Linked DNA regions of Rhinolophus ferrumequinum. The protein of the gene in region 1 interacts with the protein of each later gene in a biochemical or structural test. Links are inferred from orthologs where the notes say so. Each region holds a gene or a part of one and is shown on either strand. Other genes may lie near its edges. The genes, in order: PLAU and SERPINA5.

Evidence for each region.
Region 2: the proteins of PLAU (region 1) and SERPINA5 form a complex in vitro, tested with the Homo sapiens proteins (2 studies listed by BioGRID). The link is inferred for Rhinolophus ferrumequinum from reciprocal best matches to the Homo sapiens genes PLAU and SERPINA5.

Annotation. Positions count from the first base shown.
Region 1 is NC_046299.1:51,259,460-51,267,373, forward strand, and holds the start of PLAU (urokinase-type plasminogen activator), read left to right. Parts: upstream 1-4,906; 5' UTR 4,907-5,043; intron 5,044-5,354; 5' UTR 5,355-5,385; coding exon 5,386-5,442; intron 5,443-5,898; coding exon 5,899-5,932; intron 5,933-6,087; coding exon 6,088-6,195; intron 6,196-6,523; coding exon 6,524-6,698; intron 6,699-6,904; coding exon 6,905-6,996; intron 6,997-7,182; coding exon 7,183-7,399; intron 7,400-7,618; coding exon 7,619-7,767; intron 7,768-7,914. UniProt on the Homo sapiens protein: Specifically cleaves the zymogen plasminogen to form the active enzyme plasmin.
Region 2 is NC_046289.1:8,630,844-8,638,512, forward strand, and holds the start of SERPINA5 (plasma serine protease inhibitor), read right to left. Parts: upstream 3,212-7,669; 5' UTR 3,093-3,211; exon of another isoform or gene 3,083-3,092; intron 1-3,082. UniProt on the Homo sapiens protein: Heparin-dependent serine protease inhibitor acting in body fluids and secretions. Inactivates serine proteases by binding irreversibly to their serine activation site. Involved in the regulation of intravascular and extravascular proteolytic activities.

The DNA.
Region 1 (7,914 bases):
TGCCCCTGCTCCCTGTTGCCACAGACTTCCAACCATTTCATCCTACAGTACTTGGTACCTTCGAAAAAGAGACTGACCTCTCCCAGGACTTATATTTAGCAGGCATTGGGTAACAGTTCTGTATGAATTATCTCATTTAATCCTCAATGAGGGAGATGCAATATCATTCCCACTTTATGAATAAGGAAACTGAGACTCTGAGAGCTACCTCATCACGCTGCCTTCAATCAGTGCTTGGAGCAAAGAAGTACTTTCTGCAGGTGGGTAGGAAGTAGGAAGACAAAGAGACTGAGGGTGAGATTGAGGGTGGTCAGGAAGGGAGAAGCAAAGATTCAGAATAGGAGTAGAGAGGGTGGAAATGTGTCATGAAGTTCTGCAAAATCGGTGAATTCTGAATCTCATCATTTTCAGTGAATGAACTCAGATGATTCACTTCCCTTTATTAGCCCTCTATTTTCCTCTCTGTGTAATAGAAAGGGAAGTGCTTGCACTTATTTTAAAGACCGAGAAGCACACAGAGTTTAGCTGGGGAAAGCCATGAACACATGAAATTATACATCATATGGGCTATGGATGTTATGTTGGTTTTCTTCTGAACAAATTTTTGAGAATACTGGCTCCTGGCTGAATGTATTTCCTTAAACGTCCTTGATTTCTTGGCAGTTTTCAGGAAACCCACCAGTTTCTGGTTTCCCATTCTAGCCTTTTGTTCCTGGGTATCTATCCCCTTTAGCTTCCAGTGACATCCAACATAATAGCCTGGGATCTAAGCAGAATTTCAAGAGCCTGGGCCTAGCTTTGGTTCCTGGTGGGACTCAGAATCCAGACGGTCTGGAACATCATGACCAACACTCCTTTCAGGTAGTGAGTTCTTGATTTATTAAGTAACTGGGTTTACGCTAAGGATAAGGAAAAATTTGGCCAAGCCTCAAAATATTCATTCAGAGGTCTGAGCTGACTGGCCTGGGTGGGGCTAGGAATTGGGTCAGAGATGGTGAGGCAGGAAAGGGTGAGAAAGGGTGGGTCAGGGGGCATAGGCTAAAGCTGTAGGGACCAACTCGGCCCCTCCGTTCATGATGTTATTGATGACAGAGTATAACTTCACGGTGCAGCCCCTGGGCTCTTTGCTTCCCATGAGTAAGGAAGCAGGTATGTGGCTTCCCCCACCCCACTCTTTCCACTGGCCACTGGGGGCCTAGCAGCTCCCCTATCATGTTACAGGCGGAAGACGGGGCTTTCAGTGCCTTCTGTGACAACAGCATCTTCCCCCTCAGCACTAAACACGTAGAGAAGGAGTCCTCAGACCTAAGGAAGCTCTGTGACCAGCATTCAGCGCCTCTTTCCCAGAACCGCAGAGGAGTCTGCCTTTCCCTTGTGCAGGAAGAAAGAGAAGAGTTTCTGGCCGCAGACACGGGAGAGGAGAGGGAGGGAGTAGGAATCCGGTCTGTGGGGTTGAGCTGCACATGCAGCTGGCGAGTTGCTGGGAACAGTTTACTAAGGACACAGCATCTCCACTTAACTTGAATCCTGGAATGGTACTCCAGAGAATGCACTGGTTTTCTGGGCCAGTATAGCCGTAATCAGGAAGGCAAGGCGTACACTGAGAGTAGGAATTATAGTTTATAAAGTTCATCCTTCCATCTCCAGCATCTAGAACTGTGCCTGGCACATCGTAGGCCCATGATAAGTATTGAATGAGTGAAAGAATAACGGAATGAAGGAACGCTTTCACCACACAAGCATGATCTCATTCGATCTGCAAAGTGAGGCACAGGTGGAGTAGGCTTTGCCTCATTTTGCAGATGGGGAACTGAGCTCAAGAGAATAAGTGTCTTGTCTGAGATCATTCAATTTGGACGTGACAGATCCAGAGCTATATACTGCACTCTCTCTATGGTACCACGCTGAACAGTCTTGGTACAGCAACTCAGCAACAAATCCGGTGACTGGACATTAACTTCCCTTTGGGTCATGCTGGCCAGAAAACAGCCCTTCAGGAGTCCAGTTTCCTGGACACAGTCTCGGCCAAATTCAGACCTCCTGGTCCTCCTTGCACACCTGGCATCTGCCTGTTCTTTAATGAGCAGCTCCAGGAAAGGGTGTCCCTCTCTTAGTCTCTGTTGCCACATCTGACGCAGGAGATCTGGATCCCTGAGGCACAGAGGCACGGGGCTGGTGGCTTTAGTCTGGGAGTCCAAACAGAATGAAATCACATATATTCAGTTCCTTATTCTCTCACTCTTGGTAGAAACTTCAGATAGCCTAAACCATCAAGTTAGTTCCTGGAACTCAGGCAAACAACTAACTCATGTAACAGCGAGGGCTTTCCAGGAGCTCAGAGCTCATAGCCTGAGGAGTGATTCTGGAAGGAGCTCTCCAAGGCCAGCGGGAGGTCTCCTCTGAATTTCAACATCTTATATCATCTGGAGCTTCTCTTCGCAGAATTCTGTGTTGTACCCCTCTCTTATGGAGGCGCTGAGGTATAGAGCACAGGAACGAGGATCAGAAAACCTGGGTCCTCGTGCTGGCTTTCCCACTCATCAACTATGTATCTTCTCTCCACCTCATTTTCCTCATCTGCAAAATGGGAAGAATGATCCCTAACATCATAAGGCAGTTATGAGTTTAAAGAGGAATGATTTGTGTCAAAGTGCTTTTCAGCACAAGACAGAAACGATGCCAGTACCATTTTTTATGGCAAGGAGAGGAAAAAAAAAAGATAGAGGACGGAAACTTCCAGCGTGCCCCAAAGCTCTCTGTTCCCACTTGTTCACTGATTCATTCATAATAAAGCACCTATGTGAGCAAGGGATGCACAAGTGCTGAGGGAGAGACAAAGATATTTAAGATGTAGTCTCTGCCCTCAAAGAATTGAAAGATGAGCAGAGACTGTGCACCAAAGGATGGACGGAGATTTCAGAGTGTGGGAAAGATCATAGTGGGGAGGAAGTTCTGTGACCGGTTGGAGGCTCTAGGATTGTTCAACCAGGTGACGAGGCCACAGGAGGAAGGAGGGGGGGAGGGGTGTCACACTCCATAACGGTCTCTTGGAGCCTCTTTGTTGGGGAGGAAATGAGGTCATCCTTCTCTCAAAAATCTGCATGACAGACTCCAAGTAATCTGGAGTCATGAGAGCTGCTGGGGAGCTCTGTGAATCATGGCAGACTGCTGGGAATTTCCTGATAACTAACCTAGGAGTTTCGGGGTAAGTCCTTAGGCTGCAACACCTCTGTTTACATTTTGGTCACGTTTATTTACAGTTAATGAGTTCTAAATCCAAACAAAACATGCCCAAGGCTGGTACTGAGACTTACAGAACCTCTGACTTAGTCAATCTGCTTGGTGGATGGCAGCTCAGCCAGGCACAAACTGTCTCTGGAGGATAATGGGTCATCTGCCTCCCCAAAGCTGGATGGTTAACTTGCACTTTCCCCAGGCAGAGGCTGGCATCCTCAGTCCTCTGACTGGAGCAGAGCAAAGAGGCTTTCCTCTTTCCTACCCTCCTGGCTCTCTCCTTGCCCTCCTCCTGCCCCTCCCAAGTGGATGCAGACCCAAAGTCCAGGTTTGCCAGGCTTCAAGATGCTATAGGCTTAGGTAGGGAGAGGGATCAAGCCTTGGGCCCCTAGTGAGTTGTAGGGACTCAGCCCCCACCCCTCCCATCAAGGGGGAGAATCCTGCTGGGTGGAATCTATGCCTGAGGGATATGTTCCAGTGCATATGCCCGAGTACAACTGTGTGCACTCACCCTGAGGCGGGAAGAGCAGGTTGAGTCATTTACACTTACACCGGGGTCTGTGTTTCTGGAGGCCAATCTTATTTGATAAGCAATTATTTTATCTTATTAGAAACAAGGCCCTGTGATGAAGTAGCACACTAAATACACGTACATTGGAAAATCTGTAATTATCTTTTTGGAATGGATGATGCAAAGATGTGTTTTTAAAATTTTAAACAGTGTGAAATAAATCTTCTCATTCTTGTCCTCCAGTTCCCCAGTTCCTCTCCTCAGAGGTCATAAAAAACGGACTACATTAATAAGGCTTTACTAGTCATTGTCTTTATTAACTAACTATACTCTAACCAATCCCCCCCGCAGATAAACATGTTGTTCACTAAAGGAACTTCCTGAAAGACCCATCAACACTTCAATAAAAAGCATCAACCGTGTGTGCCCTAAGACTGTGTTTGCACAGTCCTACAATATTGTGTCATGACCCTTATTCAATCCTTACCAAACCCTCACTTTCAAAGACCACCCTTAAACCAAACTCCAAATTCTCGATAAAATCCAACCTTGCCTTCCCTCCTGCCCCATATACTACTAAACTCCCCTAAGGTGGTAAGCAATCATCTCAGCTTTGTCTTATCCACTTGTTGGGTTGATAATTTTTAGGGAGCGGGCATTCGACAGAAGCAGCCCCCTCCCCGTTAGCAGGTTTTTTTTTGGTCTGTTTTCAGCGAGCGTGTGTCACGCGGATTTTCCCATTGAGAAAAAGACTTCACAGCTGTATGAGCTGCGGACCATGTCCCTGCACCCAGGTTTCTCATTCATTCTCCCAGGCAGTTGTGGGAGGAGGGTTGAAAGGATGGAGAAGAGCTGATTTAGGGGATCTGGGGGAGGCATCAGAGCTGGACCAGGGAGAGAGTGCCGGGCGCCTCTCCACTCCGCACTTGGGTGGGTGAGTGGGTGGGCTGCATTGGAGCCCAGGCCCGGTGAATGGGAGGAGTGGCGGGGAATCTAGTTGTCTCCCTTAATCTCTCAGTTCGTTCCCTCCGCTGGGGACCGTGCAGCTCCTCGTCCTCAGTCTAGCTGAGGAACCACGCAGGGTCGGGGTCGCAGCCGGCTCCAGGGAAGGGGAGGGCAAGGGAGTGGACTGGGCGATCCCGGGGCGGGGCCAGGGCGTGGGCGGTTCTTAATAAACAGCCCGCGAGCCGGGCTAGCAGCACAGTGCAGAGACTGGAGCCCCAGAACCTCGCCGAGAGTCAGCGTTGTCAACCTGTCCCCGGTGTCCCGGCCACGCGCCCCTCCCGCCGCAGCCGCCGGTGAGTGCAGGCCGCCCTAAGAGCGCTGGGCGGAGGAGCGGCGGCTCGCGCTCTCGCAGACTTCCCTTCCCCCTACCCGGCTGCTCCAGCAGTGCAGCGGCTGCGCGCCGAGTCGCCTCTCCGCGTGTCCTTGCGTCCCCGTGGGGGTGCCGGTCCAGGCTGTCCCGGGACCCCTGAACCCCCAGAGAGGAGAGACGACCGCGGGCTCGCCCTTCAGGTGACCTGGTAGCTCCTGCCCTGAACTGCAGTAACCCACCCGGCCCGCCTTCTTGCTCCTCTGCTTCTTCCCCTGACTTCTCTTTCCCTTGCAGAACCGCTGTCTAGAGCCCCAGCCTCTCCACCATGACACTCCTACTGGTGTGCCTGTTCCTTTGTGCCCAGGTCGTGAGCAACTCTGAAGTGAGTGGCTTCTCTGCTTTGACTTATGGAGGCTGGAGGGGGCTTGCAGGACCCCTGAACAGCGCCTGGGAAAGGAGGGGGCAGCATAAGAAGCTGGGGTTCCCTGGATTCCATCAACAGCAGGGCCAGACCCCTCTGGGGGAATAGGACAGGTGTGGCAGTGGGGGCCTTGAGAACCAAGGGAGTTAACACTTGGCAGCAAGGGAGGAAGAAGCTGCTGGGACTGCCCCAGCCTGCTGGCATCTGATACGTGAGGCTTGCTTGAGTCAATCCATTTCTCCTTGCTGGAAATCTATGATCTTCCATTGAGGGCTAGTTAGATGTGAACAGGATGGGGAAGAGAGAGAGAGCTGGAGGAAAGATGAGTTTGGGGATTGGGGCCAGTTTATCCTCACCCTGGAGTCCCAGGAGCAAGGTACCCTTGGTAAACTTTCCCTCTACCTCCATCTTTTCCAGGGCAGCCAGGACCTTCAACGAGTATCTGGTACATGTGAGTATCCACCCCTTGCACAATATCTGGCTGCACAAATATCTTGGAAAAGCCTCAGGAGACAGCCCATCCCTGTCCCTGATGCAGGGCTGGCTCTACCCTTGCCTCCTCCCACTCTCCTTGCTTACCCGCCCCCCCTCCTTTGTGTTTTTCAGTGAACTGTGGCTGTCTGAATGGAGGAACATGTGTGTCCTACAAGTACTTCTCTAACATTCAGCGATGCAACTGCCCAAAGAAATTCCAAGGGGAGCATTGTGAGATAGGTATGGAGATCCTGCCTTTAACTGGGAGGGGGTTGCACCAGAGATTTGGGGGCGAGGAGAGATGAGTGGGATGCCAGAGCAGGCAGGAGTTAAGAGCTGAAGGTGGAGTGGGGGACCTTTTCATCCCCATGTGATATACATAGTCAAGCCTAAACACACATTGTCTCGAGAAGCTGTGGCTGCACAAATGTGAGGTGGGATGGAAGGAGACCCTTTCTAGTGTTTTCTGCAAGACCTGAAATTATGTGAGGTTTGGTAGGATCTCTGAAATGCCTGTCTGAACTTCCTCCTCTTTCTGACATTCTCTCATCCTCATACCCTTCCGTAGATACATCGAATACCTGCTATCAGGGGAATGGTCAATCTTACCGAGGGAAGGCCAACACCGACTATAAGTCCCGGCCCTGCCTGGCCTGGAACTCTGCCAATGTCCTTCTGAAACCGTACCATGCCCAAAGACCTGATGCCCTTCAGCTGGGCCTGGGGAAACACAATTACTGCAGGTGAGGTGGGGGCAGCAAGGACCTTCCCCATGACTTCACAGAAGCCCTTATTACCATTCCCTTCTACTTCCAGAGTGCTGGCCATAGCATGAGAAAAGCAAGGCCTCTGGTTGGGTCTTCCTTGGAGGGGAGGATGCAGGAAGGATGCAGGGGAGAATGTCATTCTGTGTTGAAAAAACACCCCCACCCCTCCCCTCTGTTGCCAGGAACCCAAACAACCACAGAATGCCCTGGTGCTATGTGCAGGTTGGCCTAAAGCAGTTCGCCCAAGAGTGCATGTTGCCCGACTGCTCTTATGGTGAGTATCACAGACCTGGTTATGATGGTGAGGTGGGAGGGGACAAACTCATGTCCCCTTATTCCATCACAGGAGCGGTGAGGAGGGAGGCCAGTCTGGCCTCCAAAAACTGGGAGGTCGGAGGATGAGGAGAGGGACACTTTATCCTACCTGCCTCCCTAAGACATTCCTTTCTTTCTCCTCCAGGGAGAAGTCCCTTTTCCCCTGAAAAAGCAGAGTTTCAGTGTGGCCAGAAGGCTTTGAGGCCCCGCTTTAAGATTGTCGGGGGAGAAACCACCTCCATTGAGAACCAGCCTTGGTTTGCAGCCATCTATAGGAGGCACCGTGGAGGCTCTGTCACCTATGTGTGCGGTGGCAGCCTCATCAGTCCTTGCTGGGTGCTCAGTGCCACACACTGCTTCATGTACGTCCCTCTGTCTCTTCTTCCTCACCTTCCCGCCCTACTGCATATTCCCTTTCTCCGTCCCAGCAAAGGATTCCACTTCAATTCTCCCCTCTTAGCCCCTCTCCGTGTGGCCCATGACCTTGGAGACAAGTCATGCTCTGAGGTCACTGCGGTGGGGAGGGGGAAGTGACAGGATCTCATGAGATCAGACTGTCTGACAGGTCTCCCCTCCCACAGTAATTACCAAAAGAAGGAGGACTACATTGTCTACCTGGGTCGGTCAAATCTTAACTCCGCTACACCTGGGGAGATGAGGTTTAGGGTGGAAAAGCTCATCTTGCACGAGGACTACAGTGCTGACACACTTGCTCACCACAACGATATTGGTAAGTGGAAAACCTTCACCTTCCGTCATGATGATGGCTGGGGAAAGGGGCTCAAGACGAGAAGTGGGAGGTTGAGGTTGTATTGGAACTTGAAAAGACTATTTTACAAAGGGAGAGGTGGGGAAGGGTTCAGAATAACATATATGA
Region 2 (7,669 bases), on another chromosome or scaffold:
CCCCCTCCCAGCTATGATAGGTTAGCAAGAAATTCTAGTGCCCATAGCCAGGACATCGCCCATACTATGCAGGTAGCAGCCAAGAACAGTCTTTGTCCCTTCCCCTCACAACTATGCTAATTTTATAAAAATGAATAAAATACCGGGGGGAATTGAAACAAGGCCCGGTTGGCACCCCCATAGTAGATGCCTTTCGGGTGTCCCTGGCCTCACCTTTCCTTGACCTCCCTATAGCTTAACAACGGAACATCCCCCTGATGGTAGAGCTCAGAATGACCCCTGTCCCACCCAGTTCCCTGTTTCATAAAATCACCCTGACACTTACCGTTAACACCCTTAGGCTTATTGACCACAATCTCTATGGTCTAGTATTCTTTCCAGGATACTCCCATCATTGTTCCTGGGTTGCTGACCTCACCAGAGAATCGCCTGGCCAGAGGGAAGGCTCCAAGCAGAACCCCCCACCCCAACCCCCATCACGTAGCTTAACGTCCAGATTTCCCTTGGATACCCCAAGCCAGTCGGAGGATGTTAAGGCAGTTTTTGGATGTGTTAACCCACTGCCTCTTCAGACCACGGGTGCTCTGATAATAAACACTCATTCTTATAGCCAACTCCTGTGTCAGTCTATTGGCTGAGCTGCACAGGCGGCACTCAGTTGGCCTCCCATTTGAAGCAAAGCCTGACTTGGCTGACTCTCTCCTGGGTCCCTAAAGTCAGTGTTTCTGCAGAAATGCCCTCACATGTCAAAGGGAAGGGAGCGGAGCACTCAAGCGGTGCCCTCAGTTGCGTGCATCCTTTGGGCACACTTCCTTTTTCACTGCCTCAAGCACAGAAAGCCCCAGCTGAGCCCAGGGCCCTTGCACATTCTGCTCTCTGCTGGAACCCTCTCTCCACCTTTCTCACCAGGCCAAAGGGACTTGAGTCAGCTGGGGGTGGGCAGGCCCTGGGCAGACCTCCCACTGCTCCCCTAACATCCATGGACCCCAAATCTGCTGTCATTCATTTTAAATGCTAGATAACAAACTCCCATCCAGGTCAATTTTGGACTCAGCTGCCGGAGTTGTGTGGCTGAGGTGGGTGTGTCCACAATCTGCTAATTACAAAAATACATGTAAGATGGAGCCCCGGCAGAGAGACAAAAACCCAACTTCCCTTGGGACCTAAAGAGCCAGGGGCAGAGCTTCCTGCGAGCTGTGGTCTAGGGAACTTTCCTAACCCCGCCATCTTCAGACCATCAGCAAGGCTTGTCAGTTTCTAGCTCCAAAGTGTGTCTTAAATCTGCCTGCTTCTCCCCAGTTTTCCAGCCACTACCTTAATGGAAGCTCCTTCCATCTTTTACCTGGATCGCCCCACTTCTCCTGTCCCCATGAGCCATTCTACAAAGCATCTGAAAGAATCGCCTTCATTCACAAAGTCACAGTGCTCCGCTGCCTAAGAATACTGTTGCTGCCCATTCATTGCAGGGTAAAATCTAACTCTGATTTGTGCAACAACGCACGGAGCCCCATGCCGCCGGGCTCTGCCCAGCTCTCACCAGCCTCAACTTGACCTGCTCTGCCCTCAGTTGTGTGGGTCCTCTGGGCGCACTTCTTTTTTCATTGCCTCAAACACAGCAAGCCCCTGGGCCTTTGCACATGCTGCTGGAACCCTCTCTCCACCTTTCTCACCAGGGCTAGCATCCCTGCAGGCCTCAGGCTGATGCTGGAAAGTTTTCCCCTTGACACCCTCTTCATGCTTGGTCCTCCCTCTCCACTGGCCCCTTCATTGTTTCTTTTATCTTTCAGTCAATTATATAAGCACAATTACATATGCATTTGTTGTTGGCCTCTTTTGTTCCAACTTGTCTCACCCACTAGGATACGTGTTCACAATAGAAAGGCCCCTCATCTGTCCTCCCTGCAGTCAAGGGGTGGTGCTCCGCTACCTTTGTGGAATGAATGAATGAATGAGTGAATGAACCCGTCTCATTCTCTGTAATTCAGAGGTGTCGGACCACATGTTAGAAACACAGCCAGGCGGGGCTTCCAGAGCTGAGCTCCAGCGGCCCTGGGGCTAACTCGACAGGTGACCTTGAATAACTCCCCCTGCTGCTCAGACGCAGTTTCCTGTCTTTTTCTTTTTAAATACCACTTCATTAAAGTAGGATTTCATGTGTACAACCTGATGAGTTTGGAGGTAAGTATACATCCGTGAAACCATCACCACCATAAACGCATCCATCACCTGCCAAACTTCCACTGTGTTGCCTAGTCTTGACTGTGAAGGAGGATATTGGCCAGGGGAGCAGTTTCCCTTTACTGTTGCATTTCTTGCCAAGAGCCTCATCCTTAGAAAAACTAAAAATTCCACTCATTTTATATTTCTGTTTTGTTTACTTAACAAATGGCCAAAAAGCTTCTGGAGCTGGAGCAGCTGCCGAGGAGCACACTGGGTGGCAGGCCCCAGACGGGGTGGCCTTATCTTAGGGAAACATTATCGTTGATCATTTCTCCTGCTCTCTAAAGGATAGCAATTCCAGGCACAGAGAACAACGCAAGCAATGCTTTACGGAGCACCCCGTGTACCAGATATTTGTCCCCACTTCCTTAAGCTTCCTCAGCCTCAGCACTGTTGGCATTTGGAGCTGCATCATTCCCTGTCGTGGGGGTGGCAGTGGACTGTCCTGCTCATTGTAGGATGTTTAGCAGCCTCTCTGGTCTCTACTCACTGGACGCCAACTGGACGCCTCCAGTTGTGACAACTCAAGATCTTTCCAGCCTCGGCCAGATGTGCCGTGGGGATAAAATCATGCCTGGGTGAGAACCATCACCTTACTTAATCTTCAGTCACACCTTGCAGAGGTGCAGTACGTTGCATCTTACCTATAAGGAAACTGAGGCTTAGCTAGGTTTCCTGCTGTGCCCAAGGTCACCTCTGCCGTCTCAGAGGCTGACTCTTTCCTCAGCACTGCGGGGAGTTTTTCCGGCTCACTCTGGGACACCTCCAAAGCTTTCAAGCCCTCCAAACCCCATAACTCCAGAGTCCATTTCTCAGCCCTCCTCACACACACTCATACCCACAGGTCCTCTGTCGGCAGTACCTGTACTTACTCTGTCCCGTGGCCCAGTATGCACACAGTGGAGGCACAATGGTCTGTGGGGCTCTGGAAAGCGCAGCCGGCTGGCTAGAGTGGAGCCAGCTTTTGCCACTGACCACAGCAGGGACCTGACTCCACCCCTCCCTGGCCCCGCCCCAGCCAGCCCTGCCCTGTCCTGTTGTAGCCGGCTTCCAGCCAACAATTAGGCTGTGGGCAAAGCCACCTGAGCTCTGACCAGGGCCACCCGCCCACTGCCCTGCAAGCCCCTGAAGGGGAGCAGAGTTGGCCACCCTAACATATGCCCCTTTGGGGATATTGATTATTCTAAGCTGGTTAATTTTAAGACATGGCAGTCTGGGGAGAAGCCTTGAAACCCACTTAGAAGTTCCCCTTTGTGAAAGGACATTTACACTTGGAACGTACCAGGCCTGATGGAGACGGCCTGGACTGAAACCTGCACAACGACCTGACCCCTGTTTCCTGTGCTTTTCCTGGTCACCGTTCCATAACTGACCCCCCTCCCAACCCCAACATTTTGTTTTGTCTTTAGCTGAAGGTGGTATTTAAGGTGGTGGCTTCAGACACCATTTGCCTGCAGTGGCACAGGAACTCCTGGGAGAAGAGGCTAGACAGGCAACCAGCTGCCAGCATTCCAGACACAGAGAAAGGGACACCCTCTGGCCGACCGCCCTTTCGCCAGGCTGATACCTTTGTTTCCTGCAGTCAATTTGCTGTAGATCTGGGGAGTGGCATATGAATTCAAGCTCCCCACAGGCCTACGTGCTTACTGTGTTCATGGACCCACCAGCCAGATTCTCGTGGAAATTAGAGGGGTCCAGAGAGTCTCACGATGACTGAAAAGAAGGGATCATTGGAACAACCCCCCGTTCTTGCGCCAGCAACTGAACTGAGGCTCAGAATGATGAAGGGATTTTTCAGAGTCCTGCATCAAAGCAGGGATAGAGTGGGGCTGAGTGTCCAAGCTTCCGACTTCAAGGTCAGTGCTCTTTGCTTAAAAAAGGGCTAAGATCTCTGTGGGGTCAGCTCGACTGTCCTTTTCTACCTTGAAAGTGGAGCTCCTGAACTCAGCCCCACACTTTCAAGAGTATTTCCACGATGCTGATGCCGACTCAACCCTTCATTCCTAGGGACTTCCTAATACTGGGGTGCACTGTGTGTAGCCATGATCCAGAAGGTTGTGGGGGTGCAAGTGGGGTGTGCAGTTGGCAGAGGAGACAGAGGACCAGGCATTTCCCAAGGGAAAGGCTCTTGATGCTCAGCAACACAGGGTCTCTCTACAACCTCTGAGACAGTTCCCTTTCTTTCTCCATGATTTTAGGGTCTGTTTATGGCCCATTTTCTCTTTGAATGCTTACAACAATGCTACAAAGGGGATCCTCAGCACTGCCTCAGTCTAGAAACAAACACAGTCCCTACCAGGTATTGAGTGCCTGCTTTGTGTTCACGAGGCCCTGGAAGGTGGGTACTAGCATCCGCACCAAGTCAGTGAGAAGGTGGAAGCTGAGAGTGGTTAGGTAATCAGCCCAACCACTCTAGGTAATCAGCACACAGCTAATGAGGAAAGGCACTAGCAAGGGGGTAGCTGGGTCCCTTCTGCCTAGGTTTTGCTTTGTTGCTATTGTGCCATGTGACATAAGCAAGAATCCTTTATCTCATAACGTAGAGATTCCTAAACTATGTTCTATACCAGGGGTGTCCAAACTTTTTTCAACATTTTTCACCAAGGGCCATATGCGGTAGAATACACAAACAGCCGGGCCACTCACTCGAGGTGAAGTACGTATTGCCTCACCTGGTTTATTTAAGTAAACTAAATATAGTTTTGGAATTTGCTGCGGGCCAATTAACAATGGATTGCGGACCAAAGTTGGCCCGTGGGCCGCAGTTTGGACACCCCTGTTCTATAGGATGGAAATCATTATTACACACCTGTGGTAGAATGGAGACTAGCCCCCACCCCCAAGATGGCCATGTCCTGATATCTGAAACCTGTGAATGCTACTTTATACGACAAAAGGCACTTTGCAGATATAACTAAGTTAAGATCTTGGGGATTATCACAGATTACTCAGGTGGGTCCTAAATGTGATCACAAGCATCCTTATAAGAGAGCGGTGGGAGGTCAGAGCCAGAAGGAAGCAATGTGGTCATGGAAACAGGAGAACAGACAATGTGATGTGAAGCCATGGCCAACGAATGCCTGAAGAAAGCCCTGTCAACTTCTTGATGGTGGCTCTGTGAGACCTATTTTGACTTGTGGCCTCCAGAACTGTAAGAAAATAAATCTGTGTTGTTTGAAGCCACTAACTTCATCATAATTTGTTGCAGCAGCAACAGGAAACCAGAACAATAGCCCAGAATATGTCCCAGCTGAAATACTTGGGGAAGATGGGAGTAACCAAGATACTAAAAGGCTTCTCCAGTCTGTGTGTGCTATTCGTGTCTCCAAGCTTGCATTTTAAGGAATGTCTCAAATTTGGGGGGATGTCTGTAGCAACCCCTGACTCCACATTGCTACTCAGAAAGGGTTCTGAAGGAATGGGGGTGGAGGATGGGTAAATTTTGAAGGGAGAGGTTTGAGGGCTTCTTAGAACATGATGCCCTCGTGCTTTAGTCTGCTAGAGCTGCCATAACAAACTACCACAGACTGGGTGGCTTGTTGAACAAACTCACAAAGAGTCTGGAGGCTTTGGCTAGAAATAAGTGATAAATAATTTTTCAAGGGATTTAGGATTTGCAAACTATAAACGAACACAACTAGGCAATATCCAGAGTGTTCTGAAGAAGAAAGAAAAGCTAAGAGTTCTTATAGAAAAAATTATGTTCTTGAGATGAATCTGTCCTCCACAATGAGCCTCTGGATTGGTCCCAGATGGTCATCCTCCAGAGGACCAGTGGTCTGGGAACTGGATGTCAGGTGGTCTGGGTACTAGATGTCAGGTGGTCTGGGTACTGGATGTCAGGTGGTCTGGGTACTGGATGTCAGGTGGTCTGGGTACTGGATGTCAGGTGGTCTGGGTACTAGATGTCAGGTGGTCTGGGTACTGGATGTCAGGTGGTCTGGGTACTGGATGTCAGGTGGTCTGGGTACTAGATGTCAGGTGTTCTGGGTACTGGATGTTAGGTGGTCTGGGTACTAGATGTCAGGTGGTCTGGGTACTGGATGTCAGGTGGTCTGGGTACTGGATGTCAGGTGGTCTGGGTACTAGATGTCAGTCAGACTGAATACTGGATGTCAGGTGGTCTGGGTACTAGATGTCAGGTGGTCTGGGTACTGGATGTCAGGTGGTCTGGGTACTAGATGTCAGTCAGACTGAATACTGGATGTCAGGTGGTCTGGGTACTGGATGTCAGGTGGTCTGGGTACTAGATGTCAGGTGGTCTGGGTACTAGATGTCAGTCAGACTGAATACTGGATGTCAGGTGGTCTGGGTACTAGATGTCAGGTGGTCTTGGTACTAGATGTCAGGTGGTCTGGGTACTGGATGTCAGGTGGTCTTGATAACTGAGCATTCTTTCCTTAGCCCTTTAGGGAGTCTTCAGAGGGTTATCTGGAGGTCTGATCTATGTCCAGGCACGAATACAGGACTGGAAAGTTCAGATGTTTTTAAGTTCCCAGGCTAGTTAAAAAAAAAAAGAATAGAATCAGTTCCTCATATCTCAATCTACCTGATTTTGGTAATTTGGCAGCTTGACAATAATGTCTCTCTTCAGTCTTTTCTTCAGACTTAGCCAGAGGAATTTATTTCTCATAGTTCTAGAGGCTAGAAGTCCAAGATTAAGGTGATGTCAGCGTTGGTTTCTGGTGAGATCTGTCTTCCTGGGCTATAGATGGACTCTTCTTGCTGTGTCCTCATATGGCCTTTTGTGCACACGGGAAGAGGTGGGGGAGGGGGAGAGAGAGAGAGAGATCGAGCTCTGGGGTCTCGTCCTCTTCTAAGGACACCAGTCCTATGGGATTAGGGCCCCACCCTTATAACCTCATTTAACTTTATTTATTTCCCTAAAGTCCCTGTATCCAAATATAATCTCATTAGGGTTTGGGCTTCAACATATGAATTTTGGGGGGACACAATTCAGTCCATCACAATGGGGATGAGAGCACGGGATGGGCCAGGGGTCAGAATATTAAATGGACCAGATGGGTCATAATCGATTTATTTTTCCACTGATATGAAGAAAAACAAAGCGCACCATCCCCGTAGTGATACATTAGGTGGGATTATCGCTATTTTATAGGTGAGGGAACTGAGGCACAGAGCGGCAGCCCATGGCATCATAATGAAGTTCTAACCCTCAGTGCCTCAGAAGGTGACTTTATTTGGAAACGGGGTCACCGCTGATGTAATTAGTTAAGATGAGGCCGTTGTAGAGAAGGGTGGGCCCTAATCCAGTATGACTGCTGTCCTTATAAAAGGGGAAATCTGGACACAGACACACACTCTGGGAGAACGCCATGTGAGAGGAAGGCAGAGGAGCACTGAAGACTGCCAGCCACACCAGGAGCTGGGGGAGAGCCTGGGGCAGGGGGTCCCTCCCCGTCTCAGAAGGAACCTGTCCTGCCCACTC